Linked DNA regions of Stegostoma tigrinum. The protein of the gene in region 1 interacts with the protein of each later gene in a pairwise test. Links are inferred from orthologs where the notes say so. Each region holds a gene or a part of one and is shown on either strand. Other genes may lie near its edges. The genes, in order: nup62l, xpo6, filensin and oip5.

Region 1 (7,520 bases):
TACATCACAGAGATGACTATGATCCTGGCTGAATAGAAACACAAAGGATAAAACTGCAATTGGAATCCTAATTTTCTGGGAGCAACTCCATTGTGCACTCTCCCAAAACAGATATTAAAACAACTTCTTCATAAAACTTCATATCAAAGAGCATCATGGGTCTTCTCTCTTTTCAAAATCAATCAACAGTACCACAGCATTCGGAGGTTTTTTTTGGCAATTACAGTCTCATTGTATTGAACAAGCAATGAGTCCACAAACAGGGAAGCCAGGGTAAAGATATGACAAATAAGAAATGAAGTATGCAACCTTTCATATCTGAAGAGTAACTGAAGTTGGGATACCGCTGCCAGGAGATCTGCTCTTATAGTAAGCCACACTTGTCTGTCTCGCATCATCCTCACACAACTACTCCACTTTGTTGGCAACTATTGTGCGACATTCATCATTCAACTACACCGCCACGTCAATCCATTCTGCTGCCTTCCATCACCTACTTTAGTAGTGAGCTTTTCAACTCTGGTCAAATGGCCAAAATACTGACATTTCCTGAATGAACTGAAGTGTCTCTGGGTAAGATAGTCTTGGATTGAAATGCCATTCCTGAGGATACTCTTCAGGTCAACACTCGGAACTGTCTTTCAGATTAGATTAAATTAAAGGACTCTCTGCCTGTAGTTAATTGTACTTGACAAGTTATTGGAAGTTCAGTTTCAATTTATGTGAGTTTATGGAGAGATAGATCATTCAACAGCATGCTGAGAAAAGCAGTGAGGTTTGTGATTCTGAGTAACTTTTCCTGACATTAAAAATAACTAATTTTAAACAAACTGAGAAGGTTATTCAATTGAGGGCTTGATTGATTGGAAGATGAATGGGAGCCAAATGATATTTTAGATTTTCAAACAATTCAGTCAGATATAGACAGAGAGGCTGAGCTGCTCCTTATCCGGAAATTTCATAGTAAGTTCCATAAATCCCTTGAGAAATGACCAGGGTTCTTTGAGAGGTGGAATAAAACCAAATCCCCAAGCCTTGATCCAGTCTAGCGATCTAAGTTTGCGGGACATGTTTAGAATTACCTCCTCATCCAGTTCCTCCTCTTCTCGATCTGAACAGGACAGCAGGTTTGACAAAGCTTGCAGGTGGTCAGCTGAGAAGGTGAAATCCATCTTGTTACCTTGTTAGAGCTGAATAAACGCCCTATTTGCAAGAGAAAGGATCCTCTTTTAGAACCAATTTATACTGTCTTACCACTAATTGTGTTAGTTTACCAGCTGATATGTCAACAGTAAGTACACCCTGGCACTGCAGATGTCCACATACATTCCTGCTTCGGGCACAGGTTGGATTGTGGGGAATGAATCTGTGAGATTCCTTATATTAATGTTTGAGATGAGCAACATCAAATTAAGTATTGTGAGGCAAGTTTGGGGGGGGGTGTGAAACAGTGGGGCAGATGGAGAAGAAAGAGAAAAGGGAAAACAGAACGGCATGACAATAATACTCTTGAACTGTTAGTGAGACAAAAGCATCTCTGCAAGGTTAGTATTTATTATTCAATCTTAACTTCACTCAAGACAACTAGAGAGTCACCCACACTGTCACAGGCCCGTAGTCGGACAGGGTTATGACAGCAGATTTTATTCTCTCAGTGATATTTAAGCACCAAATTGGCTTTTGTATCAATCTGGCTATTGCATGGTCATTATTACAGAGAGTTGCTTTTTATTACTGATTTATTAAATGAACCAAACTTCTCAGAGAGGTTTTGTGGTGAGGAAGGTGGTGATGAACAGACAACTTTTATGCCTTTCTGTTAGCTCTTCAAAAATTTTCAGGAAGTAAAACATCATTTCCCCTCAAGGAACTCATACTGATACTTCCTAATCAAACCACCTTTTTGCATGTTACTTCTAATTTTATCCTAAATAATTGTTAGCAAAATATTCCCCTTCACTGAAGTTAACTGACTGGTCTGTAATTGCTCAGCTTACTCCTTCAATGTTTTTTAAAAGACTGTAATGTTTGCAATTCTCCAGCCTTCTGGCATCTCTCCTGAGTTGAGGGAAGATTAAAGATTGTGTCCTGGCACCTGCAATGTCCACGCTTACTTTCTTTAAAATTTCCAGATGCATTTCATCCAGTCCCAGTGCCTTATCACCATCTAAGTACCAACTCTCTAACCAATACCTACACCTTATCAATAATAAGTATTTCTAGTGACAGAGTTTCCTCCTCAGTTAGCTTGTCTGAGTTAGCAGCTCCCTCTTTAGTAAAGACAAATGCAAAGTATTCATGAAACACCTCAGCCAAACTCACTGCCTCTGTCCGTACATCCCCATTACGATTTCTAATTGGCAAAACTCCTCATTTTACTACTCTTACTTGTTCGTCTATATAAGATTTTGGGTCAAGTATTTTATTGGCAAGGGCTACAAAGAAAAGGCAGCACATGAATTTGAGGATTATCGGGTCAGCCTTGATGCCATTCAGTGGTGGAGCGGACTCAAGGGGTCGAACGATCTATTTGTTTTCCTGTCTTATGGTCTAAATTCTATTTGTTCAGCCCATCTGAACAACAAATCCATACCATCCTGCTGTCTAAGGCTTTTTCCTCGCTGTTTACTACAGTATGAATTTGAGCAACCAATCAATGAATGCACGCATGCCAAACGCCTTTTTAACCATCCTGTTCATATGTGATGCAAACTTTAAAGAATTATTAACCTGTGCCCTAGGTCCTTCTGTTCTACAACACTAGTCAAAGCCCTACCATTAACTGTATAAGTCTTACCCTTGTTTGTTGTACCATTATGCAATATCTTGCATTTATCCAGATTGAACTCCACCTGCCATTTTTCAGCCCATTGACCCATTTGATCAAGATCCCACTATCATCTTAGAAAACATTCTTCACTGTCAACAATGCCACCAATTGTGGTGTCATCTGCAAACTTACTAACCAAACATCCTTTATTCTCATCCAAGCCATTTATGTAAATATCAGACAAGAGAGGACCCAGAACTGATCCCTGTGGAACACGGCTGGTTACATGTCTTCAGTCCAAAAAGCAACCCTCCACCAATACTTTCTGTCTTCTGCATTAAGCCAATCATGTATCCAGTTGGCAAGCTCACTCTGAATCCCATGTGACCTAACCATGCGGAAGCTTGTCAAAGGCTTCACTGAAATCCAAATAAACAATATCTATTGCTCTACCGTCATCAACCTTTTTGGTGTCTTCTTCGAATTTATTAAAATATATTGCAACCCCCCCTTGTTGATTTATATACCTTCATTTTTTACTCTATAGTGAATACAGACACAAAGTACTCATTTAAAACCTCAGCTCTATATATGTGGCCACTTCTGTCCCAACTCTTTCATTGGTTACTTTCTTCCCCCAATACATTGATAAATTGCCTTTGGAATTTCCTCAATGTGTTCTCTTTGCTTTCCTTTTTTTAAAAAGTAACTACCAACTGAAACCCCCACCTCCCTGTTGCTGTTTAGAAGCCAAAGTTGGCCAAACAGGTTGGAGCATCTACCAGCAAATTCCTTCCGACTTCCTTACCAAGGCAGTGAGAGTGGAGAGTTTTCCAGTCAGCCATGCATGATGAGGAGTGGCATCCCTTGCACTAAGCCTCTGGCAAGAGGCTAATGACTTATTCCAAGTAAAGCAAGCGACAAGAAACACTGCACTGTGTAAAAAAACTAGGATAATAACTGATCTGCTGTTCTACACGTTTCGGAGCTGAAGCAAAGTCATATGTAGTCTCAAAGGTGCACTGAGCAATTACTCGCTGAGATAAATTATGATGCGGCACATGTTACAATTGCAGAAAATATACTTTAAACACTAAGAAAAAAAACAATATTTCATCCTTCCTCTCTCCCTACCACTACACATTCCCCAGAAGGCCTCATCTTAAAATCCTTCCTACCTTCATCCTGTCAAGCCTATTCCACTGATGAGCCTTTCACACTCCCTCGCACTCTTTCCGCATTCACTCTCTCCCTACCTCCTTCTATCACTTACATCTCTCCCTCGCTGTCTCTGTCCCTTCCTCCCTCAAACTTTCTCTTTACTCACGTACTCAATGTCTTTTCTCTCTCCCTCTCCACACCCTGCCTCAAATTTTCTCTTTTTAACTCATTCGATTTCTTTCACTCCCTACACCCTCATCCTTTATACCCCTCACTTCCCTTCCTCACACTTACTATTCCAGCGAATCTTCTCGTCGCTATGGGAACCATGGACATGGCGGCTAGGTTTGATTGACAGCTCCCTGGACCAATGCACTTCCCGCCCTCGGGGCCCAATCAGCAGCGACGATGCTGGATCGAGGGGATGGGTGCACGGTTTCGCCAATCAGAGCGAGCGGGCTTGGGAGGTGTGTAGCGAGCGAAGTTGTTCGTACAGTACCTGTGAGAGAGCGGGATCATTTAGGGCCGGATATAGAGGGGGCCGAAAAGAGGAGCGAGATCGCTTCGGTATCGGCCTAGAGAGTCCATTGTCGTTTGCGCCAGTTCTTGCATAGGGGATCTTCCGTGAATCAGACCGGAACCCCAAGGTAGGTGAGACCGCAAGAACATCAAGTCGGCCCCAAGAGACAGACATCTAATCTGGAGAGGTGGGCTGGGTGAAGAGGTGGGATGGGAGAATGGGGTGAGGCAGGGTTTTCGGGTGAGGTGGATGGGGATAGAACATAGAACAGCACAGTACAGGCCCTTTGGCCCACGATGTTGTACCGTGGAATAATCCTAATCCAAAACTAAAATAACCTAACCTACATTCCCCTCAATTCACTGCTGACCATGTGGGGATGGAGTGGGGTAGGTTAGAGCAAGGAGGAGGTTAAGTCTCTTAGTTGAGTGTGCATGTAGCCTAACAGGCTGCAACCAGTGGACTGATAATTTCCATTTTTCTCTAGATTTCAAAATGAGCTTCAATTTTGGGAATCCGGCTGGAGGCGGCAGCTTCTCCTTCACTGCTCCCAAGACGGCAGGCACAGGGAGTGCGTTCTCTTTTGGCAGCACTACTGCAGCCTCCCAAGGGACCTTTAGCTTTGGAACACCCCAGCAGGTTACAACAACGGCCACCTCAGCACCCAGCACTGGTCTGTTTTCGTTCAGCACTCCCACTACTGGAGTCGCATCATCTACTGGATTCTGCCTGCCAACACAGCCAGCAACAACTGCCACTACTGGAGGCTTCTCTCTTGGGTAGGCCATAGTCTGTACCTACACATTAATGTTCACAGCCAAAGACTGGACTGGCGGTGGATGAGTGAACTGGAGGGAGTGGATGGATGTGTTGTGGAATTCAACAGAGAATGTCAATATTGGAGGGAGAAAATGTGGAGATGGGTTGACCGTAGGTCTTGGTAATTTGTGTTGTCATGACCTACTTGGATGTGGATGTTACTTGTAAGTCCAGCACTCATTTGCCCATCCCCAGTTGAACTTGAGTATATGATGTTGAGCTGTTTTGAATCTTTGCAGTCCGTGATGTGTATGGATATCCGTGGTGCTGTTAAGGAGTCAGTTCTAGGATTTTGACTCAGCAGCACTGAAGGAATGGCAATACATTTCTAAGACAGGATTCTGAGTGGCTCCGAAGGAAACCTCCAGGTGGAAGTGTTCTCATGTGCCCTTTGTTCTTCTAGGAAGTAGCGGTCACAGGTTTGGAAGGTGCTGTCAGATAACCCATTGTTGACTTACTGCGGTGCATCTTATGTACTGCTGCCACTATGTATCCGGGGGGGGTTTGTTTCTGGTTGTGTCAGTCAAGCAGGCTGTTTCTACTTGGTTGCTCTCATGCTTCTTCATTGGTGTTGGAGTTGCATACCCACAGGCAAATGGGCAGTATTCAGTCACGTTTCTGTTGCCTTGTAGATGGTGGACAGGTTTTGGGGAGTCAATAAGTGAGTTGCTTGCTGCAGAATTTGTAGCCTCTAACCTACTGTTCGAGCAACACTATGGATTGTGCGTTTCAGTTTACGGGCATTGGAAGCCCCAAAATCTGGATGGAGCTTTCAGGGATGGTGATGCCATTAGATGCCAAATGGAGATCGCTTGATTCTCACTGCAAGATGGTCAATCAAAGAAAGAGTACTAAGAGCAAGCTCTGGAGAGTTTCTCTTCTTGGTCCAGATCCAAAAAAAAACCACTTACATTTAAAAATTCAGAGATACAGTTTTTAACTGAGAAAACAATTAATTTAAAAATTACCATTTAATGTCGTTCAGTCAATTTCGTATTAAGTAACTATCTATTTAATGCCATGACCTAAAATTGGCTGAAAGTTCTGCTGGTTAGGCAAACACATGACAGATGCAAGATAATAAAATGTGAGGCTGGATGAACACAGCAGGCCAAGCAGCATCTCAGGAGCACAAAATCTGACGTTTCCGGCCGAGACCCTTCATCAGAGAGGGGGATGGGGAGAGGGAACTGGAATAAATAGGGAGAGAGGGGGAGGCGGACCGAAGATGGAGCGTAAAGAAGATAGGTGGAGAGAGTGTAGGTGGGGAGGTAGGGAGGGGATAGGTCAGTCCAGGGAAGACAGACAGGTCAAGGAGGTGGGATGAGGTTAGTAGGGAGATGGGGGTGCGGCTTGGGGTGGGAGGAAGGGATGGGTGAGAGGAAGAACCAGTTAGGGAGGCAGAGACAGGTTGGACTGGTTTTGGGATGCAGTGGGTGGGGGGGAAGGGCTGGGCTGGTTGTGTGGTGCAGTGGTGGGAGGGGACGAACTGGGCTGGTTTAGGGATGCAGTAGGGGAAGGGGAGATTTTGAAACTGGTGAAGTCCACATTGATACCATATGGCTGCAGGGTTCCCAGGCGGAATATGAGTTGCTGTTCCTGCAACCTTCCCCCCCGCTCTCCCTCTCGGCCCCTGCCCCCCCCCCCCCCCCCCCCCCCCGCGCCCGCTCTCCCTCTCGGCCCCTGCCCCCCCCCCCCCCCCCCCCCCCCCCGCGCCCGCTCTCCCGCTCTCCCTCTCGGCACCTGCCCCCCCCCCCCCCGCGCCCGCTCTCCCTCTCGGCCCCTGCCCCCCCCCCCCCCCGCGCCCGCTCTCCCTCTCGGCCCCTTGCCCCCCCCCCCCCCCCCGCTCTCCCGCTCTCCCTCTCGGCACCTGCCCCCCCCCCGCCCCGTGCCCGCTCTCCCTCTCGGTCCCTGCCCCCCCCCCCACGCCCGCTCTCCCTCTCGGCCCCTGCCCCCCCCCGTCTGTCTGTCTGTCTGCCCCCTCCCCCCAGCCAATCCTGTTTCCTGCTTAAAACCTGACATTTCCCTAGCTACCATCAGTTCTCAGGAAGTGTTACCAGACCTGAAATAATAATTTTGATTTCTCTTAGATGTGGCCAAACCTGCTGAACTTTCCTAGCAACTTCTGCTTTACAACATCCACAGTTCTTTTGTTTTTTTACCACAGGATTGGCTGAACTTGTTTTATTGCTGGTTCATTTCAAACTCCGGAATAGATAGATCTTGCTTTATTCGTGGTTCGGTGCTTAC
Region 2 (8,008 bases), on another chromosome or scaffold:
CAATCACAGTTCTGTTATGTTTACTTTAGTGATGGAAAGATGCAAGTTCAGGACTGGGGCGGGGCAGGGCAAACCTTTCAATAGTAGGCTTGCAGGAGGAGGGTCATAACAGCAACATTTAATCAATAGTCTTGATGCTGCTAGCAAAGGTCATGGTATCAAACAATGATTCAAGAGGCGAGGGAGACAGGAGAGTGGTCTATAACAGTTAGCTTTACAGAAAGTAAATATTGCAGGTTACCTTTGCATTTCTGGATTATCTTGAAGTACCAGAAGTTTTAAGTAAGAGTTACTGAATGCTGTAACGTTCTTGATGAGCCGAATGGAGGGTGCAGGAAAATGGCTTCAAAGTTGAGATCATTCACAATCTCAAACAACTAAATGGCCTACTCCTTATGGCTTTATGAATTTTTTTATTGAAATACATGCAGATTAGGGAGAATGCAATGACATTTTACTGAGATTTTAATACAGTCAATAAAAAAGTCTCTTTTTTCCCCCCCCTCTCGCAACTGTCAACCAAAGATTTTTTTTCCAAAACAGCAAATGAGCAAACTATTTCCATGCAGAAATTGAGACGTAGAACATAACATGGTAGAAAACGGATCCACCTAGTTACAGAAGTGAGTTGAACAGGTACACAAGGTGAAGCAGAGATGTGTTATTGACCTTGCGCTGATCTTAGGAGAAAAAAAAAAGCAGTTGTGAATGACCGGCCAGAGTTTCCAGAGCAAGCTTTGCCCAGTGGCAGATTGTTGATTTTTCCTCCACACCCCTCCCCACAACTTAGGTTCCAGTTGTGGAGGCCTGGAGTCATCAGCATATTAGGAGCTGACTGGCTATCAACCTGTTCAGATATGTAATTACACACCTCTGGAGGTAGGACTTGAACCCAAGCCTCCTGACCCAGGAGGTAGGGACACCACCATAGCACACAGGAGCCCTATACCTTCTGTCTCTATCGCTCACACATACTGTCCAATGCTCCAGCGGTCTGGATAGGTTGATAGCTCGAGGCAAAAGGTCTCCAGACTCAAGACAGCATCACGCACACTTCCTTGAGAATTAAGTAACCAAGAACTAAAAGACACTTAGCTATTCTCTCCCACCATTTGCTCCAGTGACTTGAGAAACTAAATAATTAGTTGTTAGCCATTCAGTCTCTTCAAGGAACTAAAGCAACTGCACACATAAAAGGTGGCCAGATTGCAACAACCTGAAAGAAACAAAAAAAGGTACACCCCTGAAGTCCAGAAACCGGTGCAATTGAACCACGTTTCTCCAATTTTCTTTCTCCACCCATCATTGCCATGCTTGTATGTTTCTGTGTGCACATGCTTAAGAGGTTAGACTTCCAACTCCAGGATTGTGTTGATTCATGTTTTTTGCTTGCCTGTGATTAAAATTGATCAAAGTGGTTCTTGTCAAATACAGAAACTGGGTCAGGGCTCTGTTAACCCGAGTTCAGACAGGACAGTTGGGGATGTTGAGTTAGTTGATTAAGTTTGTGACCACCGAATGTAGTTGGTCTTAATGTCAGCACACTTTCCTCAGGTGGGTTTATGACAAAAAAGTTATGAGCATAGGAATTAGGTTAGATGCCAGAATTATTTGCTTCCAAAAAGATTAATCGACTTTTGTACTGGCTGCCAGATTGTGTAATGATGCAGGTTTGTTGCAAAAACTAAATCAAGAAGGGAGCTAGACAGGCTGCTATCAGAAGCTGATATCATTTTGCACACAAAAAAAGCAAGATTCTTGGTCAGCACAGACTACATTTAGTTTTAAAATGGCTCAGTTGGGAAAGAATGCCTCAAGTATTTTCCTCCAGAACATTTCTTTAAGATAATTTTTGGCCCCCTCCCAGAATACTAGATTCCTTTTGTTAAGTGGAGACAAGAGTGCTTTATTATGATATCAACCATAATCAGTGGACTAGCTGATCTCTCGTGTGCATAAAAAGCTTAAGTGGGTTCAGGAGATGATGATACATTTTTGCATAAAATGCTGATCAACTACTCTGACAAACGTGACAGATTAGGGACAAATCAAATCATTTTGTGGACATATGCAGTGCTTCTGCTCCACTTTCAAGCTACATGTACATTTTACAGAATCTAGTCATAGAAATCACTTCACTTTTTGCAGTCTATAACATCTTTCATTTACATTCCATTTAAGACTTAAAACTAGATTATTATCCTTTATAGCAGCCTCTCGATGAAACAATTGTTTTCTAGTGAATCCAACTTGTTATTTGATAATAAAACAGATTCCTGAAATGCATCTGTGCCTACGTATAAGTCACAGGAGCAATGTCCACTGATTCCATAGCATATTACATTAACTTTTTGCAGGGTACCACAATCTTGAGCAATGTATTATTCTAAAGCCAAACTTTCCAAAGAAAGGATCTGACTAGAATAGCACAGTAAGGCAGTGATGACTATCATGGAACTTTTGGTTCTGATGAGTGTATCCCTGCTTTCAGTTCTCACTGAGGGGGTCACAATTTTCAAGCTTCAAAATGGAGTCTCAGCAAACAAACATTTGGGCAATACTGCTCTAAAGGCTACCCTCAGAAATCCTGCAGTCAGTTGAGAAGTGTGCACGATCATGGGAGAACCTTTTTAATTGTTATGCAGGGAACCGACACTGACACATTAGCAACTAAGAGTGATTCTAAACGAAGCAACCATTACCCTGATTACAGGGCAGAACGGATTTAAAGGAGGAGTTGAACGGCCTCTTCCCTTCCTAATGTTTTCGGTACCCAATCAAATCTGCGGACAGTGGCACAACAAATACCACAACACCTTCCTTAAGAACGTCAGCAGAACTCATTCTACTTGATGTATGGAAGGTATGCCTCCCCACCGCACTTCCTTGATGAAAAACATGAGAATTGGTTGCAACTGCCTCGGAAAGAGGAAGGGAAGCTAGCCCCATAATGCAGAAGGGCTTGCTACAGAGAAGGGAGACGTTTCCGTAGAAGGCCCACAAAAGGAGAGCAGCCTTGGCGTTTCTTCTGACAATATCAAGTCCAATGGAGCACGCAGGGTACAAGAGACAAAACGAGGCCGCGTACTCACCATAGTTGAAATACGATCTCTTCCCTGTCCGGCTCATACTCCGAGTATCCAGCACAGCCCCTTTAACCCAGTGAGGACGAATGTTGAGCCGCTATCCGTCGCTGCGTCTCTTGGTTCTTCGGGCCTAGTCATCAGGCCCTTCCCGCAACATTTCCGCCCCCAGCCCCGGATCCGGTTCCGCCCTGGCGGGAGCGGGCCGGCTCAGACCGGATTGTGCCAGATCCCAATGTGCATGTCCATTGGATGGCTGCAAATGTGTATTATGATTGGTCAATTCGATTGAAAGGTAAGTTTCGATTAGCCGCTGTGGAAAAGGGCGGTGACATACTTTTGATTGGTTGGTAGCGCTTGGTCACATGACCACGGCTTACCCTGTACGTGCAGTGCTTGCTATTTGGCACCGAAGTAAAATTTAGTTTATCTAAGTTACAGATAAAAATCTTTCATGAAACTGTCTTATAAAATACATTTTCGTTGTTGCATCTTTAAGCCCCCTTTTTAAAAAAAAGTTACATAAGTGTACAGTATAGAAGACGTTTATTGCAATACTTTTGAAGAAGCGATTATATAAAGTAGCCATAGACCCAACTGTTTCAATGGAGGGAGACAACTGGTGATGGTTTAACCAGAGGGGAGAGGTTAAGAAAGTGGGACCTTCGTGATGACCTCAGCAAAAACAGGGCTGGAACCATACTTGACTTCAGTTTGCAGTGCTAACCAAGCCTCCAGCCAACTGTGCTAAGATGCCTGTAGATGTTATTTATGAGGAAATCCTGAAGGCAATTTTCCAGGCCTAAAGAATAGGTCAGTATAGGGATGAGTAGAAATCTGAAGAAAAGAATTATCAAAATTGTGATTTGGAGCATTGTTAAAAAGGGCTGAAACATAGACAATGAGAAAGCATACATCTAAAGTTTATAAAGTTGTGAAATAGTTTGATGGGACAGAACGTGAGCAATGAAAAAGTTCTTAGGACGATGGATGAAGAAAGATTATTGCTCAATATTTTCAAGAAAAAAATAAAGTTCTTTGTGTTTTTGTGCATCCCTAACTGCCCTTGATGTGACTTTCTCAAACTGCTGCAGTCCATTTGTGCAGATTCATCATCAATACTGTTAAGAGAGCATTTCTTGGATTTTGATTAGAATTTTGTGTGGCTTAAGTGGAACTTTCAGGTGGTGGTATGTATTTGTTTGCCTTGGTGGTAAAGGCTTGGAGGTGTGTAGCTTGCTGAATTGTTGCAGTGTATCTTGTATGTTGTACAGTTCATCAGGGTTGGAGGGTGGGAGTGCTAACCGTAGTGCATAGTGTGCCTGGATGATGTTGAGCTTCTTGAGTATTTTTGAAGCAATAATCAATTAGGAGAGAATTCCTTCTTTATCAGTCACTAATGTGGGACTTTGTCAAAAAGTCATGCTGAAAACCATATAAACTACATTAATTGCAGTACTCTCATCTACACACTTGAAATCCTGAATCCTGAAAAAATTCAACCAGATTTGTTAAGTGTCATGCCACCCTTACAGCCATGCTGACTATCTCTCACCAAACTTTGACTCTCTAAATGGAAGTTAATCCTCTCCTTCAAAAGTTTCTCCAAAACATTCCTGCCACAGATGTCAATTTACAGGTTTATAATTCCTTAATTTATCTTTACCATTACTTTGTATTAGATCCTATGTGTGCTAACTTTCTGCTATGAGATCCTTACCAAATGCATTGTTGAAGACCACATAGACCGCATCAAATACATTATCCTCATCAATACTCATGGTTACTTCCTCAAAGGATATGATCAAATGTGTTGAACACAATCTTCGCATAACAAATCCATGCTGACAAACCCTTATTAATCTGTCTGTCCAAGTGCATATGTATTTAGTCACTCAGAATTCTTCCTAATAACTTTCCCACCACCAAATAGGACTGACTGGCCTGTAATTTCCTACAGGTCAATGTTAGCAGTCCTCCAATCTTTTGGCATGTCTCCTGTGGCCACAAAGGATTTGAAAACTTTGCCAGTGCCCCGAGATCTCCTCTTCTGCTTCACTCAACAGCCTGAGATACATCACATCCAAGCCTATGGATTTTTCTACTTTTAATGTTGCCAATAGATCTACTCTCTCCATGTCTTTCACCCAGAGATGTAAACCTGTGACATCCCTTTCCATTGTGAAAAATGACTAGGAACATTTGTTAACGATAATTTAACAAACCGGATCCAAAATAGGTTTAGTGGGAGGATACAGAGGCAAATGGTAGAAGAGCATTTGTGTGACTGGAGGCTGATATCCAGTGGCATACTACAAGGATCAGTGTTGGGTCTCTTATTGCTGGTGGTATATATAAGTGATATAAATGAGAATGTAAGGAGGCATGATAACTAAGTTTACGCGAAGCTTGGGTGGATGGTTGACAGTAAGGAAGAAGAACTTAGGCTACAGGAGGATATAAACAATTGATCAGATGGGCAGATCAGTGGAAAATAGAATTTAATAACCTTGATAAGAATGAGATGATGCACTTTGGAAGAAGTTACAAGACAAAGGATTACTCAATAAATGATAGGATACTAGGAAGCTCTAGGTACAAAATAATCGATGTGCTTGTCCAGAAATCCCTGAAGGTGGCAGGGCAGGTTAATAAGATAGCTAAGAAGGCGTAGCAGTGCCTTTGTCAGTCGAGGCACAGATTATAAGAGCAGGAAGGTTATGTTGGAGCTGTACAGAACTTTGGTTAGACCACAGCTGGAGTACTGTGTGCAGTTCAGGTCACGACACTTTAGGAAAGATGTGATTACACTGAATTGGGTACAGAGGAGATTTAACAGGATTTAACCTGATATGGAGTCTTTGGCTATGAAGAGATGCTGGAAAAGCTCTAGTTGTTTTCTTTAGAGCAAGTAAGATTGAGGGGGTGACCTGATCGTAATGTATAAGGTTATGAGGGGCATAGAGAGTTGAACAGAAAGCAACGGTTCCCCTTAACAAACAGAAGCAGTGCAGTACTGTACAGTACAGGTCCTTCGGCCCATGATTTTGTGTCAACCGATTATCCTACTCTAAGATCAACAACCCTGCATACTCTATATCCATGCGCCTATCCAAGAGTCACTGAAATGTCCCTGATGTATCTGACTCCACTACCATTGCAATGCTGGCAGTGCATTCCACACACCCACCATTCTCTGTGTAAAGAACCCACCTCTGGCATCTCACCGATACTGTCCTCCAATCACCTTAAAATTATGCCCCCTCGTAATAGTCATTTTCTGCACAACTGCTAATGTGGTATATTGTATCCACTGTTCCCGATGTGGCCTCCACTACATCAGGGAAACCAAGCGGAAGCTTGGAGACCGCTTTGTGGAACACCTACGCTTGGTTCGTGACAAACGACCACACTTCCCAGTCGCGAAACACTTCAACCTCCCCTCCCACTTCTTGGACGACATGTTCATCCTCGACCTCCTACAGTTCCACAACGATGCCACCCGAAGGCTGCAGGAACAGCTCCTCATATTTCACTTGGTAAGCCTGCAGCCCAATGGTCTCAATGTGGACTTCACAAGCCTCAGAATATCCCGACCCCGACCTCATCCCAAAACCAGCCCAGCTCGTCCCCACCTCCTTGACCTGTCCATCTTTTCTTCCACCTATCCACTCCTCTCACCTCATTGACCAACCTCCTCCTCCACCTCCTACCTACCAGCCTCATCCCCATCTCCTTGATCTGTCTGTCTTCCCTTGACTGATCAAACCCCATCCTAACTCCCCACCTACACTCACGTTTACTGGCTCAATCCCCGCCTCCTTGACCTGTCCATTTCCTCTCCACTTATCTGCTCCTTTATCCACTGTCCATCTGCCTCCCCCCCGACCCCGCCATTTATTTCAGAATCCCCTTCCGCTTGCCCACTTCTGAAGAAGGGTCCAGACCCAAAACATCAGCTTTGCCAATTATACAGACATGACTTAATGTGTAAAGAACAGTTGTCATCAGCATGTTGCTGTATTGTAGTAATGATGCATAAGAATGCCAGGGAAATTCATTAGCAATGTTTTCAACTTAATTCTCTGGGAGGATCATTGAACAAATCTTTCTTGAAGCCAACTCCAACAGCTGTGAAGTCAACTTCAATGAACTGGACACTGTCTGAATGGCTAAAAAGCATTTCCCCTAACAAGACTTGTTCTTTCAACTCTCAAAAGACCAATGTTCGAGGGGAAGTTAAAGAAAATGCTTTAAAACAGTCTGAAGCTTTTTTCAAAGAAGTGAAACAACATTGATACCAATATCCAGCAGTAGTTTGCAACCAAATTTTCAAAATAGTGGGAAATTGTCCATTAAGCTGTGGCACATGTTGAATCATGATGCCTTGATGATGAGACAGATCCACAGCAGAAAAGGAAAGCAAATGAAGCAAATCCTGCTCTCCACATTCTTCATTCTGTCCAATGTGGAGAAAGATTTGTGAATCAAGATTTTCAGTCACGTGAAGACCCATGGCAGAAACACACTGAGCACACGACAACCTGAAATCAACAAACATTGATGAGAACTACAACTGACCAGTCACTTAAACTCCATTTACCTTCCCTTGATGGCCTTATTTAACAATAATCTATTCATTTCAATCTTAAAAACACCATCTGATGCTTAGCATTCAATAACATTTCTTAAGGGAGAAGGGAAGCAGGGCAGGTTAGGGACTGTGGGTTGGAAGCAGAGTTCCAGACTGATGCCACTATTTCATGTGAAAAAAATTTCAATTTCTTGATTTTTCTCCTCGGTGTTTAGCCTCAACTTTTAAGATTGTTTCTGTTTTAACTTTTCCATTGAGGACATTCTTTGTTTTTACCTACACTATTGATTCCTTTTAACATTTACAAATACCTCAATTAGATTACCTTTCA
Region 3 (7,760 bases), on another chromosome or scaffold:
GCTGGGTATGTGCGGAGGTAGCTAACTGTTTAAAATCGCCAGCTGCCTCTGACCAAAGATGCAGTGTGAAACCTGGAGGTGTGGCTTAAGTGGAATCTTCTGGAATTGCCCATTTGGATCTGGGACACTACTGGGAGAGACTAGCTGCCTTTTTGTCATGATTGAAATGTGCAGAAAAGGGCCATAACCCTCATGACCGCCCAACGTTTGAAGCATCCAAGAGGATGCTGGATGATTATTTGGATGGAAATGGCGTACAGGGAAATAGGGCAATGGCAGGAGATTGTGGCGAGGGAATAGAACTAGTGTAGGCATGATGGGCTGAATGGCTGCCTTCTGCCCAACAACAATTCAGTGATTCATTGGAACTGTCATCCAGACAGATACACTGTCAAAACTGTCAGAAACACTCACCAAAGGAAGCTGTCAAAGCATTTAAAAGTGCTGCCCCTCAAACCTTTGAAAGTACTGGCATAGGGCTGCCTGGTAGCTCAATGGTTCGCACTGCATTCTCACAGCGCCAGTGACCCAACCTCGGGCAACTGTCTGTGTGTAGTTTGCACATTCTCCCTGTGTCTGCGTGGGTTTCCTCTAAATTACTCCCACAGTCCTAAAATCTGCAGGTTAGGTAGACTGGCTGTACTAAACTGCCAACAGTGTCCGGAGATGTGCAGGTTAGCCATGGGAAAAATGTAGGTTGGGGGCGTGGGTCTGGTTGGGATGCTCTTTGAAGGGTAGGTGTTGACTCAATGGGCTGAATGGCTTCCTTCCACACAGTAAGGATTCTATATTTATAAATAATTTCTTGTTGTTTCACTCGGTGTGTCGAGAAACATTCCTGGCTTAGCGCAGTATGGCTGATTTCACAACTACACACCGTCACAGTGTCACAGTTACTTCAACCTTACAGATTTGACAGTGATAAGCGGTTTCAGGCTTTTTGATGTGAGGCATTGAATTGTAAGGCTTGCTGTACACGAACGAAATGTTTGTTGTTGTAAGGTTTTATCTTGTTGGCAGGATGCAAATACAATAATAGATTTTTGCGAAAGAGTGAATTTTTTTCAATGCCACAAAGTCTGCAATATGCACTTCAAACTTCATTTTATAGGGCTTAAGTCTCCCTCATCTTTGCTTGGTTGCTGAGGCCTACTCACGGTAGATACTAAGCAAATTGGCTGTTAGGTGTAAGGGCAAAGGGTGATAGGTGGAGGGAATGGGCTGCTACGAATGGAGAGCATTGCAGCAACATATACAAACATGGGGGTGGGTAGAAGCACATAGCTTGATATAGGAGAGTGTGACTGGCACAGAGTTGTTTGGGAACGTGTGTTGTCATGGATGGAATGTGGCGATCTTTCTGATTTTATTTCTAAGCATTGACGCAATGCCAAATTCTGGACCAGCCATGCCTTACAGCTCACTGTCGACCAGGCTGTGATATCCGTGGAACCCAGGACCCTCCTGAATCTGTGCAGCCCACCCAGCGGGCAAACATCCGCTTCGGTGGGAGATTCAGTACTGGGAAAGAAGTAGAGGAATGAGGGAGCAGGAATGTGAATGTGTAGGATTGGGTGAAGAGAGAAGGAGGGATGTCAAGAGAAGGGAAAGGAAATAATTTCAAACTGTTCTTGGTACCCAAGGTGTCGACACTGCCCAAAGGTGGCATCATTCAACTGCTGGGGGATTCACCCTTAAATCAAGCCTCCACCCCTCCCCCAACAATGCCCACACTATCTGACTAGAAAATGGGCGCACGTCTTTCCAATTTCTGCCTACGCTTTTAATACCTTCGAACTGGATCATTCCATTATTGTACAAAGTTTGCAATGAAACATTAGTGAGGATCACACTTTTGAGGAAAGTTACAGTTTACGGAATAAAAGGGACAGCAGCAACATGAAAACCAAATTGGTCAAACAGTCGGGAACAGAGTTTCATGGCCAATGCATATTTTTGGGGCTGGAGGAAGGTTTGTCAGGGAGTTCCCCGAAGTTGTGGTACTGGGACCCATGGTTTTCCTGATTTACATTAACAACTTGGATCTTGCTGTGCAGGGGACAGCGTCACATCCTGTGGATGACACGAAACTTGGAAGACTGAGGGGGACAGTGTGGAACTCTAAAGGGATTTTGATAAGTTGAGGGAGCGGGCAGATGGGAGGTAGATGAGGTCATGTGGGGAGAAGTGTGAGGTGATGCATTTTGATCAGAAGAACATTGAAATACAACATAACATAGGGTCAACAATTCCAAAGGGGGTACAGGAGCAGAGGGAGCTGGGGGTATATGTGAACAGATCATTGAACGTTGCAGGACAGAGAGAGGGAGCAGTTAATAAAGCTCACAGTGCCCTCAGCTTTATTAATAGGGCATGGACTACAAGAGCAAAGAGATGGTGTTGAACACGTATGTATAAGATGCTTGTTAGACCTCATCTGGGGTGTTGTGTACAGTTGTGGGCACCACATTATAGGGCGAAAAGTGAACAGGTCGGAGGGAGAGAGACAGTGTAGAAGCGATTTACAAGGATGATTCCAGGAATGAGAAACTTCACTGACGAGGATAGATTGAAGAAGTCGAGAGAAGGAGACTGTGAAAAGATCTGTTAGTGGTTTTCGAAAGCATGAGGGGGCTGGGCAGAGCCCATTGGGAGAAACTGTTCCCATTTCTAAAAGGAGCAAGAAAAAGGTGCAGATTTGAAGTGATGGGCTTGGGGCCGAAAATGAAGTAAGGGTGAGGTGAGAGAGAAATCCTTTTCATAGGGCAAATAGTCCGGGCCTGGAATGCACTGCCTGGAAGTGTGGGGGAAGCAGGTTCAATTGAGGCATTAAACTGGGAAAGTGCATGGTTATTTGGATAGACGGTGCGCTGGGACTTGGGGAAAAGGCAGACATTTGGCATTGGGGCACAGAAGCAGTGCCGGCAGGATGGGCTGAATGGCCTCCTTCTGCTCCATAACCATTCTGTGAGTCTAAGAATTACTTTGAAGGGGTATTTTTTTGTTTTACTTGGTGCTGGGCTATACAGTGAACAAGAGACAAAAAGTAACAATGAGAGTGAGTAAAAGGGAGAGAGAAGTTACCTGGTGTGAAACAGCTCCAAGATTTGCTTCATGTCCTTCAGCTCCTTCTCCAGCATGTTCAGGTCCCTGAGTAGCCGCCAGAGACTCTGCTGCTGTTGGTCGATCTGTTCCATAAAGACTCCCCCCAGACCCGAGAGTTCCTCGATCTGCCTGATACTCTCCACCTGTTTCTCCAGTGTGGCGCTGCTCCTCTCCAGGGCCCGGGCCCGGCACACATAGCTCTCAAAGCGCTCTGCAAACTTCCTTAAACTGCCCAGCTCTGCTAAACCTGCCTCACTCCCCTCTCCCTCCCTCCCCAGCCCACACAGGGAGCTCACTCCGAACATCCCAGGCACAGAACGGGCTGGCTCTGTCAGCTACTGTTGGACAAGTTATTTCAGACAGAGTGGCAATTGGAGAATCTGAGATAACAAGGTGTGGAGCTGAATGAACACAGCAGGCCAAGCAGCATCAGAGGAGAAGGAAGGCTGACGTTCCGGGTCTGGACCCTTCTTCAGGAAAAGTTAGACTGATTCACAACACAGGAGGAGAGACTGGGTAAAACTCCCCTCAGACAGTGTGCACGTATCCCCACCGCACAGCACCCCTCACTGTATATGAAGGGCTGGAAAATACCTTCTGATGAGAATAAATAAGAGTTCAGAACAACGCAGAGCTCCGCATAATTGTGCACTGCCCCTGTTAATTGTCCGCCCTTTCCAGCAATTATACAGGGACATTGTCAACGCATTAATTCTGCCTGGTCAGAGCTTTTGACTGATCAGCAGAGCCCGGGCATGTGTCTCCACAAACAAAACATTCCAGGGGACCACACACACAGTCAGCTAAAACTTGCAAACTAAGAGCTGACGGGGCGCTGAATCTTCCAGGGGCGAATTTCCATGAACATGGGGATCAGCAGGATCATTGTCCCTGTGCAATGGGTGGGACAACAGGAGAAGTTCACGTGGGGTGAGCTGAAGTTCAAAAGGAGGCTCAGACGACTGGGGGGACACACACTGTCAAAGAATCAATATTCACGGTGCAAAAACTAGGAGTTGCTGGAAAAGCTCAGCAGGTCTGGCAGCATCTGTGGAGGAAAAAACAGAGCTAACGTTTCAGGTGCGGTGACCCTTCCTCAGAATTTTATTCATATTAACGAGTGGCGAGGCCAGGTCTGCACGCTCCTCCCACTCTGCCCTCTTACCCATTCTGATACTCACCGCCCATCAGTGTTGCCCTGCCCTGGGCCATGTGCTCTGGAATTCCCTCCCTAAACGTTGTGTCTCTCTCAGGGTGCCGGGTAATGCTCTGGGCTGGCAGTTGGGAGGGCCAGATCAATGCACCCAGGGGACACAGGTTCCAGCTTCACGGGGAGCCAGCTGACTTTAAAGCCCCCGGGGCCCCATGCCCGGCCCCCTCAGTTTTTATGCAGCCAGTTGAGGGAAACATGCAGGGTGCATTTTTGGAGCTGGCCTCATTGCACCCATGGGAAACCAAGGCGTTCAGGTCAGCAAACATTATCCCCCCCACCCCCCAATCCTGAAGCTCAGAAATTGTCACAATCCCCTCACCCAAAGTTGCGGTGGAATCAGCAGCTGCTGGTTGGCGGACAGCGTGCTGTCAGCAAGCCTTCCTTCCCCGACAAAAACAGGATTTGCTGGAAAAGCTCAGCATCTTAGCACCAAGAGACAGCAATAGACTCACATTCCCTCAGAGTCCCTCAGACTATCAGGAGCCAGAGGGAGATATATCTGATGGGCGCCTTCCCTCCCAGACAGAAGCAGAAATTGCTGGAAAAGCTCAGCATCTGTGGAATAAAGAGTTAATGTTCCAGGTCCAGTGACCCTTCCTCAGGACTTCCTTCGCTGATCTTTCTGATCAGCCTGCTCAGGGATGTTAGGGCTTGCCTCTGGAGCGGATGAGACTTGAAACCAGGACACCTGGCTCAGAGGTAAGGACATCGCCACTGCATGACAAGACCCCTCCAATACTTCTGTCTGGTAAAGCTGGAAGGGGATGCTGCACTGATGAGTCCTAACAAGAAGAGGCATTTAGTCTTAGCACGAGAGTTTATCACCTGACAGCAGTAGATACACATTCCCTTGGCCAGTTAGGCAGACTACTGGGAGCCAGAGGGAGACAAATCTGATGCTCTTGGGACTTCTGGTTCCCCACCCTTGACTGTGTGCGTCAACAGATTTGGAGGAGCCTCATACAAACCTTAACCCTTTCAGAACCGTTACCAGCAAGAAGGAACAGAGTGAGGGTGGTGTGTGCGAGGTGTGGTAGTGGAGGGGCTGTGAAGGAGGAGGACACTGTTACACCAGGGAGTCTTTCAGACACAGCTCCATGACAGTCATCTGTACCCTGAAATTTCACCACCCACCCCCCCTGCCCTGCCACCGCGCCCCCCCCCCTCACTTGGGTCCCTGCCTCCATAACCTTTGAAAAGCTTTGGTTTGAGTGAGAAGTCACACAACACCAGGTGCCCCTTCGTTAGGTGATGAAGGGGCTGCATTCCAAGGTTGCGAGGGCGGCACGGTGGCTCAGTGACTAGCACTGCAACCTCACAATGCCAGGGACCCGGGTTCAATTCCACCCTCGGGCGACTGTCTGTGTGGAGTTTGCACATTCTCCCCGTGTCTGCGTGGGTTTGCTCCGGCTTCCCAAAGTCCAAAGATGTGTGTGCTAAGTGGATTGGGCATGCTAAATTGGCTGTAGTGTTGAGGTGTGTAGGTGAGGTAGGTTATCGGGGGATGGGGCCTGGATGGAATGCTCTGAGGGTCAGTGTGAACTTGTTGGGCTGAAGGGTCTGTTTCCACACAGTTTGGGATTCTATGATCTATGATTTCAAACAAACCTGTTGGAATGTAACCTGGTGATTTCTGACTCTGTCCCCACCAAGTCCAACACCGGCACCTCCACATCTTGGTTCATAGTGGACATTGACTGAACATTAAGGGTTTTAACTGGGAAGGGTCTTTCATCCACACTCACACTTACTGTCAGCTTCAGTTCTTGTGGGGAGGAGTTGGTTCTGAAGAGGGGTGACTGGACCCGAAACATTAACTTGCTTTCTCTCTCCACAGAAGTTGCCAGACCTGCTGAGTTTCTCCAGCTTTTTTTTTCAGATTTCTGGCATCCTCAGGATTTTTTAGGGGTCATTTCGTTTTGTTTAATCAGATGCTGCGGAAGTTCTATGCATCATTAATCAAAGCCTAACAAATACAAGCTCATTAAAATAGCATGTTTGAATTTTGAATGTTCCTGTTATTTATTTTACTGTGGGTTGTAAATAACAAAGGACAGTGTTCGATTCCAGTGAAAATAAGAGACAAAATGAGATTATAAAATGTGAGGCTGGATGAACACAGCAGGCCAAGCAGCATCTCAGGAGCACAAAAGCTGACGTTTCGGGCCTAGACCCTTCATCAGAGAGGGGGATGGGGAGGGGGAACTGGAATAAATAGGGAGAGAGGGGGAGGCAGACCGAAGATGGAGAGTAAAGAAGATAGGTGGAGAGAGTGTAGGTGGGGAGGTAGGGAGGGGATAGGTCAGTCCAGGGAAGACGGACAGGTCAAGGATGAGGTTAGTAAGTAGATGGGGGTGCGGCTTGGGGTGGGAGCAAGGGATGGGTGAGAGGAAGAACAGGTTAGGGAGGCAGAGACAGGCTGGGCTGGTTTTGGGATGCAGTGGGTGGGGGGGGAGAGCTGGGCTGGTTGTGTGGTGCAGTGGGGGGAGGGGACGAACTGGGCTGGTTTAGGGATGCAGTAGGGGAAGGGGAGATTTTGAAACTGGTGAAGTCCACATTGACAACATTAGGCTGCAGGGTTCCCAGGCGGAATATGAGTTGCTGTTCCTGCAACCTTCGGGTGGCATCATTGTGGCAGTGCAGGAGGCCCATGATGGACATGACATCTAGAGAATGGGAGGGGGAGTGGAAATGGTTTGCGACTGGGAGGTGCAGTTGTTTGTTGCGAACTGAGCGGAGGTGTTCTGCAAAGCGGTCCCCAAGCCTCCGCTTGGTTTCCCCAATGTAGAGGAAGCCGCACCGGGTACAATGGATGCAGTATACTACATTGGCAGATGTGCAGGGGAACCTCTGCTTAATGTGGAAAGTCATCTTGGGGCCTGGGATAGGGGTGAGGGAGGAGGTGTGGGGGCAAGTGTAGCATTTCCTGCAGTTGCAGGGGAAGGTGCCGGGTGTGGTGGGGTTGGAGGGCAGTGTGGAGCGAACAAGGGAGTCACGGAGAGAGTGGTCTCTCCGGAAAGCAGACAGGGGTGGGGATGGAAAAATGTCTTGGGTGGTGGGGTCGGATTGTAAATGGCGAAAGTGGGGAAACCAAGTGGAGGCTTGGAGACCGCTTTGCAGAACACCTCCGCTCAGTTCGCAACAAACAACTGCACCTCCCAGTCGCAAACCATTTCCACTCCCCCTCCCATTCTCTAGATGACATGTCCATCATGGGCCTCCTGCACTGCCACAATGATGCCACCCGAAGGTTGCAGGAACAGCAACTCATATTCCGCCTGGGAACCCTGCAGCCTAATGGTATCAATGTGGACTTCACCAGTTTCAAAATCTCCCCTTCCCCTACAGCATCCCTAAACCAGCCCAGTTCGTCCCCTCCCCCCACTGCACCACACTACCAGCCCAGCTCTTCCCCCCCCACCCACTGCATCCCAAAACCAGT
Region 4 (7,504 bases), on another chromosome or scaffold:
AGTTATTTTTGCGAGCAGTACAATCACAGGGTGCTTAGTCAGAGCGAGGCACACAAGGTAGTGACTGCACAGGAGGCGTACAAAAGCGAGGTCAACATTAGAATTGAAATTATAGAAGTCCATTCAACAGCCTGATAACAGCAGGGAATATGCTGTTCTTGAACCTGTTGGCGCATGTGGTCAAGCTTCTGTATTTTTCTACAAGATTTACAGAAGTAGGCCATTCAGCCCTTTATATCTGCTCTGCCATTCAACGAGATCATGCCTGATCTGATAATCCTTAACTCCACGTTCTTGCCTTGATGCTCCTCCTGATTAAAAATCTATCACCATTTATACATAGCTAACCTAACACTTACTCAAACATAACAGCATGTTCAATGGTAAGCTGCTACCGCAGGATTGCAGAGAATCTCCCAACACAGTGTGACATCTCTTGCACTGGAAGATCACACAGTCCTTCACCTTCAAGGACCCAATCACAACACTGTCCATCTAAACAGGGCACACAGGAAGAAAGAGAGAGAAAACAACTGATCAAATCAATCAACCATCGCAATTGGGATGTGCAAACCGAACTATATTGATGAAATATTCGGACTGTAAACACAATTAAAGTATATTTCAACATGTTATGAAGAAAACCTCAGGAATCCATAGAATCCCTACAGTGTGGAAACAGGCCTTTCGGCCCAACAAGTCCACACTGAACCTCTGTGCATCCCACCCAGACCCATCCCCCTATAACCCACCAACGCTACACATCCCTGAACACTATGGGCAATTTAGGATGGCCAATCCACCTAACCTGCACACATTTGGGCTGTGTGAAACCGGAGCACACGGAGGAAACCATGCAGACACGGGGAGAATGTGCAAACTCCACACAGACAGACACCAAAGGCTAGAACAGAACCTGGGTCCCTGGTGCTGTCAGGCAGCAGTGTGAACCACTGTGCCACCCCTGGAACTGGAGTAGCCATTAAACACAATGGCTACAAGAGCAGGTAAGAGGCTAAAAATCCTGTGGTGAGTATCCCGCCTCTTGACTCCCCAGAGCCTGTCCACGATCTACCAGGTACAAGTCAGGAGTGTGATGACATACCTCCCACTTACCTGGACAGGTAAGGCTCCAACAACATGCAAGAAATGTGACACCATCTAGGAAAAAGCAGCCCTATTTGAATAACACCACATCCACAAACATTCACTCCCTGCAATGCTCTTTAGTAGGGATGTCAACTATCAACACGATGCATTGCAGAGATTCACCAAAGCTCCTTGGATGGAACCTTTCACGATCACTATCATTTAGAAGGACATGGGCAATGGATACTATAAACACCACCACCTGCAACTTCCCTTCCAAGCCACTGTCCACACTGACTTGGAAATATATTGCCATTTCTTCAGTGTCACTGTGTCAAAATGCTGGAAATTCCCTCCTTAATGGCATTGTAGGTCAGCATATGGACTGTAGTGGCTCAAGGCGGCAACTCACCACTTCTCAGATAGGCAATAAGTGCAAGATCCACATACCACGAATGAAATGTTTAAAATCCTGACTATCAAATCCTACCAATGGAATAAAGTGACAATTTGCTGTAAACTCAGTTTCCTTTCTGTCTTAACGGGTAAAAGGAGAATCATTTTCAAGTTGTTGTGGGAACAAGTTAGAGGAAGCTTAAAGAGCTATCATAGAGCATGCAGATGAAAACTAAAAGTATTTTTTTAAGAAAACCCATCCTCAACAGTTTTTTCCAAGTATTTTACGCCTCAACTGCTTTTTAGGGTACTTCCAGAAAGACCACTATTGTATTGCCTATTCACTAGTATATTGCTTACCCAACCACTGTGTTCATCGCCACACTTTTTTTTCTTTCTTTCCTTCCTTCTTTTCACTGAGGGATGGTGTTGAATGTTGGAAGGATTTATAAGCTGAATAAGAACCTGTCCAGTGTTACGAACACTCCTTCCAACAAATCTAGAGTGGGACTTGAATGCAGTTCAGTGGCAGAAATGCCAGCAATTGAGCCACAGTACCTCCACTGCCCAGCAAGCATTTGGAAAACAAATCTTCTGTCTATCTATCTCAATTGCCACTGGGCTGTTCAGTCACTAACAATGCCTAGACTCCAGGTCCTACACACAATAGGTACAGAAAGAGCTGGAAAAACTCAGCAGGTCTGGCAGCATCTAGGACAGAGAGAGAGAAACAGTGTTAACATTATAAGTCCAGTGTGACTCTCGTGCAGAATGTTGCTGCAGCACTCTTTTTATTTTCAAAACCCAACAATTTGCTTTTATACAAGACCTACACAGATGGACATGCTGTCAATTAGCAGACACTGAAATGTTGCACCAGAGAATGTGATTAGCTCTTGGCTTGTGTCTAGCATTGGCACATGAAGATAGGTTATAAACATTCTTACACTTTGACACTTTAGCATTCGATATAGAGGCCCTTGGTATTGAAACCACAACCATTGAACATGCAGTTTAAAGAAACGACTAGCTAGCACATTAGTGGCCAAGTGGAGAAAAAGTGCTATTTATAACATTGGGAAACTGCTCCATGGAGCAAAATCTTACACTGAGACAAGATCAAACGTAGTAAAAGAAAAGGCTTGTTTAAAGTGACAGATGAAGTGTAAAAGGGATATGATATGCAGAGGCAATAAGCTGGCAATCCAGAGGCACATAGTTTACTGAGAAAATTGCAACAGGAGTTTATTAAAGGAGAGGGTACGGCTCTGGTTCCTCATAAGCCTCTTTGACCATGTTTTGGTCATCTGTCCTGCTACCTTTTCATTGAGACCCAGTTTTGGTAACTTCATGAGACATCTGGTCACATCGAAGGTGCCAGAAATAAGCTTTTTTCGGCTGTGGGCTGAAGCTGAGAGCTGACACGAACCAAATCTTCCCCTCTAGTCTAGGCACTGCAGCGCCTCTCTGTAACAACAAACCCGCTCAGTAACCCACTCCCATCTCAAAACCCAAAGGCACCATGCCCTCTTCCAGCCAGTTCCTCCGCCAGGGGAACAACAGTGAGACATGTTGTTATTGCTGCCGCTGCCCTTGGGGGGTTATTTTATTTTTCTCTCGGGGGAGGGAAGGAGGAGGAAGAAGCGAACAACACCCCAGCCACCATATGCCCCAGACCCAACCAAACCCCCTCACCTCCTCCTCAAACACGACCGTTAGCAAACGCGCGCCGCACTGCGTTCAAACCAGCGTACATGCGCAGTACGCCGTCTTCGCGGAAACGGGGTGGGGCGTGGAGAAAGGAGGGGGACGGAACAGAGTAGAGGAGGTTTTGTGGGGGGGGGGAGATGAATTAGTTGTATTCCAAATGGTTGTCCATCGCTGGATGTCAAACTGGTTGGTCTGCAGTCGCTGGGATTATCCTCTCTTGAATGAGGCTGTCGTGAAGTTTGCAATTGTTTGTCAGACTCTGACACCTCTCAAGTGTGGAGCATACTGAAAGATTTGTGCCTAGGTCCCCTGCAATGTCAATTCTCACTTCCTTCAAAATCCTTGGGGGCATCTCAACCAGTCCTGGGCGCCTTGTTCATTTTTAAGTACCAACACTTCTGCAGTTTCAATTTTGATCGGCCCTAGTGACTGAGTTCCCTGTCACTATGACCTTAGGGAGCATTTCTATCATTAGTAAAGACAGGTGCATGGTGTTCATTTAATACATTCTTGATACCTAATTGGCGCTACTCCACCTTTTATCAGCCTTTTACTATTTACATGGCCGCGGAAGACTGTGACATTTCCTTATGCTGGCTGTCAGTCTTTTCTTAGAAATCCTCTTTGCTTCTCTCATTTGCTTTTTGACCTTCCCTCCAAACCTTTGATATTCCTCTTGGTTCTCAATTTAACTGAGACTTGGCATAGGCACATCTTTTTTAATCTTAATTCCTTTCTCCTTTTTAATCCAGGAGCTCTGGATTTGTTTGTTCCACCTTCTCTATTTGAGAGGATGTATCTTGACTGTACCTGAACCATCTCCTCTTTGAGGGTATCCTATTGTTCAGTTACTACTTTTTCTACCAATCTCTGGTTCCAGTCAATCCTGCTCAACTCTGTTCTTGCCTCATTGAGGTGTCCTCTCTGCCATTGACTGATCTCACTGTTGCAGATCATTTTCCACCATCTAATAATACAATGGTCACTGTTTCCTAAACGTCCCCTCACTGACACTTGATCCACTTGACTTATCCTCATTTTCAAGAGCCAGGTCCAACAGTGCTTCCTTTCTTGTCAGACTGGACATCTACTCCCTTTGGAAGCTCTCTTGAACACAGTCCAGGTACACTTGAGTGTCCCAGTCTATATTTAGGTCATTGAAGTCTGCATTAAAACTATTCTAGAATGTTACCATTTGTCTATAATTTCCCTGCAGATTTGTTCCTCCACATCTTTCCCACTGGTGGCCTAGAAACTGCACCTAGCAACATAATTGTAACCTTTTTGTGTACCCTGGTTTTCTCCCTTACAATTCTCCCTTCATTCCCAAACCCACACTTTTATTGTCCATCCCTAGTTGTCCTTGAAGTGACTTGCTGGGCCTTTCAGAGTGTCAGGCACATTGCTGTGGATCTGGAATCACACTGATATGACAAAACCCTGGCAAGGTTCCCCAATTTGTTACACCCAGTTCCCTGGTGATGCTGCTAATTTGTTAGCATGGTTTCAGACAGAATACCCCAAATCATGAAGTTGTCGGATGAGCAGAGACAAAATTGGCTCCACGTCTTCACTCAACTTATTCAAGTTGATTACAGAAATATTAATTTAAAAACAGATCCTTTACCTTATGGAGATGGTAGGAACTGCTGATGCTGGAGTCTGAGATAACACAGTGTGGAGCTGGAGGAACACAGCCGACAAGGCAGTATCAGAGGAACAAGAAAGCTGATGTTTCGGGTTGGGACCCTTCTTCAGAAATCCTTCTCCCAGACCTGATTAAACTCGTGATTTCAAAGAGTCCAATTTAATCAGGCTTTCTTGACTTAACATAGAGTGAGTTTATTAAGTACCAAACGAAAGAAGAATTTGCAAACACTTTAAAATTAAGAGGTGAGAATATTATTTCTTTTTAAAAAGAGACATATGGGTCAGTCTCTAAACTGTTTCTGATGAATAGGTAGATGAACATTGCCAGCACTGCATTCGAGGCTACTGGTATCACTGACATTGCTGTTTGAGCAGTGGATTTCACAATTCTTTGTTCTGCAACAAACACAAAAGTGCTGGAGAAACTCAGCAGGTCTGGCAGCATTTGTGAAGAGAGAAACAGAGTTAAAGTTTAAAGTTTGGTATAGCTGTTTGTCTGAACTGAAAGGTGTTGAAAAATAGGTTTTATTGTACACTTTTGACAGAGGTGAAAGACACCAAGGGGGCTGATAATGTAGTGCAAAAGACAAAAAAAAGTTGTTAATAACAGAGAAAGAAAAGATAGGTTAAAAGGGTGTAAATTAAGATGTGAAAAGGAGAGCTTTGGCCCTTGTTACTAATTGCAAAGTAATCAAGAATTGGCGGTGGTGGAAGATAACGTAAGAAAAACAGAGTACGGACATAAAACAGTCAGTTTCTGAAGTTATTACATTCAATATCAAGACCTAGGGGCTGTAGATTGCCTATGTAGAAAATAAGATGTTTTTCCTTGAGTTTGCATTCTGCTTCTTTGGAAAATTGCAGCAGACCAAGGACAGAAATGTTAGCATGAAAGAAAGGTGGTTTGTTGAAATGGAATGCGCTGGAAGGTCATTCCTGTGGACAAAATTAGAGTATTCTGCAAAACGGTCATCTAGTCTGCATTTGGTCTAGCCATTGTATAGGAAACTGCACTGTGAGCAATGATTGGAATAGACTGGATTGAAAGAAGTGCAAGTGAAATGCTGCTTCGCCTGGAAGGAATTGGAGCTCAGGACAGTGAAGAGAGTGTTTTACACGTCGATTGACACTCTGATGAAGGGTCTAGGCCCGAAAAGTCAGCTTTTGTGCTCCTGAGATGCTGCTTGGCCTGCTGTGTTCATCCAGCCTCACATTTTGTTGACTCTGTAGTTCTGATTCCTTTTGACCTTGACTGGATTCCAGTATTGAGGGTGAGCGAGATTCATTTTGTTATCCTGTTTCCTTGTTCAATGCTTTGTAACACTTGGAGTGAGAGAAGGTAACACAGTGGTAAATAGGGGCTAGTTCTTTGTGTATGCCTATCACAGCACACTAAAGCTTGAACTGAGGCTGGTACATACAAGAGTTTTGTTCCACTAATACATTCCAGTGGAGTTGAAACTGGTTTTATAAATTATAAATTATTTATAAATTGTGCTCCTAAGATGCTGCTTGGCCTGCTGTGTTCATCCAGCCCCACACTTTGTTTTCTTGAATTCTCCAGCATCCGCAGTTCCCATTATCTCTTATAAATCATCTCCATGTTTGTTCTTCAAAGAGAAAAGCACAAAATGAGTGTGCAGTTTGGTCATCAATCCCTTATTATCTTTCTAGTCTCAAGAGATCAGTTGGCTCTAATCCCTCCCCCCCCCCTTTGAAGGGATGTTGTTTGAAGTTCCCTTTACATCAGTAGGTGTGAATTTCCATGGGCTTCTCCCTCTCTCTGTCCAGACAGGCACTTAATTTACATCTGCAGGAATATTTGACTATCAACACTCTTTTTAAAAGCACAATTAAGTTAAATTAAAAATGATCAGAGTACTTAGGGGTTCTGACCTAGGGTTGACCACTTTGTAGCAGAACAGGGCTAGAAGGCAGATTTCCATCCCTAAGTTACTTCATGGTTTTTTAGAGCAATTGAAAGCTCGTCTTTGTAATGGTGAATATGAAAGTAGCTTTCAGTTCCAGGCTTTCTAATTAATTAAATATTAATTCCATCAGATAGTGTGTTGGAATTTGAATCCTTGTTCCCAATGTTACTTTAGTAACATTGCCATTATGTCCCTACTTGACCAATGCTGAATGCCTGGGAGTTATCTGTAACAATAGGTAGATCTGAAAGAGAGAGGGTAGAATTTCGGTTGTAATCCACATGGAATAAGCCAGAGGAAGACAGTTACTAATGAAGGAACTGTAACTGTGAACTCCTGTTTTGCTAGACCTGATGAATAACAGGATGGGAAATAGAGAGCAGTTCAGGTAAAAGCGACAAACAAATCCGGTCAGACTTGAAAACCTGGTCAGAAATTGGAGCAGAACTTCTTAAAGGTCTGGATTTCTGCAAAAGAAATAGCCATGAATCAAATACTAACACAAATGCATGTAATTCTGTGGATTTTGTAAATCTGAAATAAACATTAAATGCTGGAATTGGTCACTAGGTCCAGCAATGGGAACAGTGTTTGCGTTTCAGGTGGTTGACTTTTCATCAGAACTGGGAAAGTTTGGACTTGCAGCAGGTATTAAATTACTGAAGTGGGGAATTAAAAAGGTCTATGATAGAATGTTAGATCAAAAGATTTGATAAAATGGGGAAAAA

The links.
Region 2: the proteins of nup62l (region 1) and xpo6 interact in binary tests that used the Homo sapiens proteins (3 or more experiments, as listed by UniProt). The link is inferred for Stegostoma tigrinum from reciprocal best matches to the Homo sapiens genes NUP62 and XPO6.
Region 3: the proteins of nup62l (region 1) and filensin interact in binary tests that used the Homo sapiens proteins (3 or more experiments, as listed by UniProt). The two-hybrid records come from large-scale screens. The link is inferred for Stegostoma tigrinum from reciprocal best matches to the Homo sapiens genes NUP62 and BFSP1.
Region 4: the proteins of nup62l (region 1) and oip5 interact in binary tests that used the Homo sapiens proteins (3 or more experiments, as listed by UniProt). The two-hybrid records come from large-scale screens. The link is inferred for Stegostoma tigrinum from reciprocal best matches to the Homo sapiens genes NUP62 and OIP5.

The regions. Positions count from the first base shown.
Region 1 is NC_081368.1:73,415,847-73,423,366, reverse strand, and holds the start of nup62l (nucleoporin 62 like), read left to right. Parts: upstream 1-4,390; 5' UTR 4,391-4,578; intron 4,579-4,938; 5' UTR 4,939-4,946; coding exon 4,947-5,230; intron 5,231-7,520. Other genes in the region: dnaaf6 (protein PIH1D3), read right to left, coding at 1,083-1,172. UniProt on the Homo sapiens protein: Essential component of the nuclear pore complex. The N-terminal is probably involved in nucleocytoplasmic transport.
Region 2 is NC_081376.1:32,158,992-32,166,999, reverse strand, and holds the start of xpo6 (exportin-6), read right to left. Parts: upstream 3,319-8,008; 5' UTR 3,096-3,318; coding exon 3,093-3,095; intron 1-3,092. UniProt on the Homo sapiens protein: Mediates the nuclear export of actin and profilin-actin complexes in somatic cells.
Region 3 is NC_081362.1:4,879,926-4,887,685, forward strand, and holds the start of filensin, read right to left. Parts: upstream 3,411-7,760; coding exon 3,085-3,410; intron 1-3,084. UniProt on the Homo sapiens protein: Required for the correct formation of lens intermediate filaments as part of a complex composed of BFSP1, BFSP2 and CRYAA. Involved in altering the calcium regulation of MIP water permeability.
Region 4 is NC_081363.1:84,907,659-84,915,162, forward strand, and holds the start of oip5 (protein Mis18-beta), read right to left. Parts: upstream 3,253-7,504; 5' UTR 3,181-3,252; intron 496-3,180; coding exon 360-495; intron 1-359. UniProt on the Homo sapiens protein: Required for recruitment of CENPA to centromeres and normal chromosome segregation during mitosis.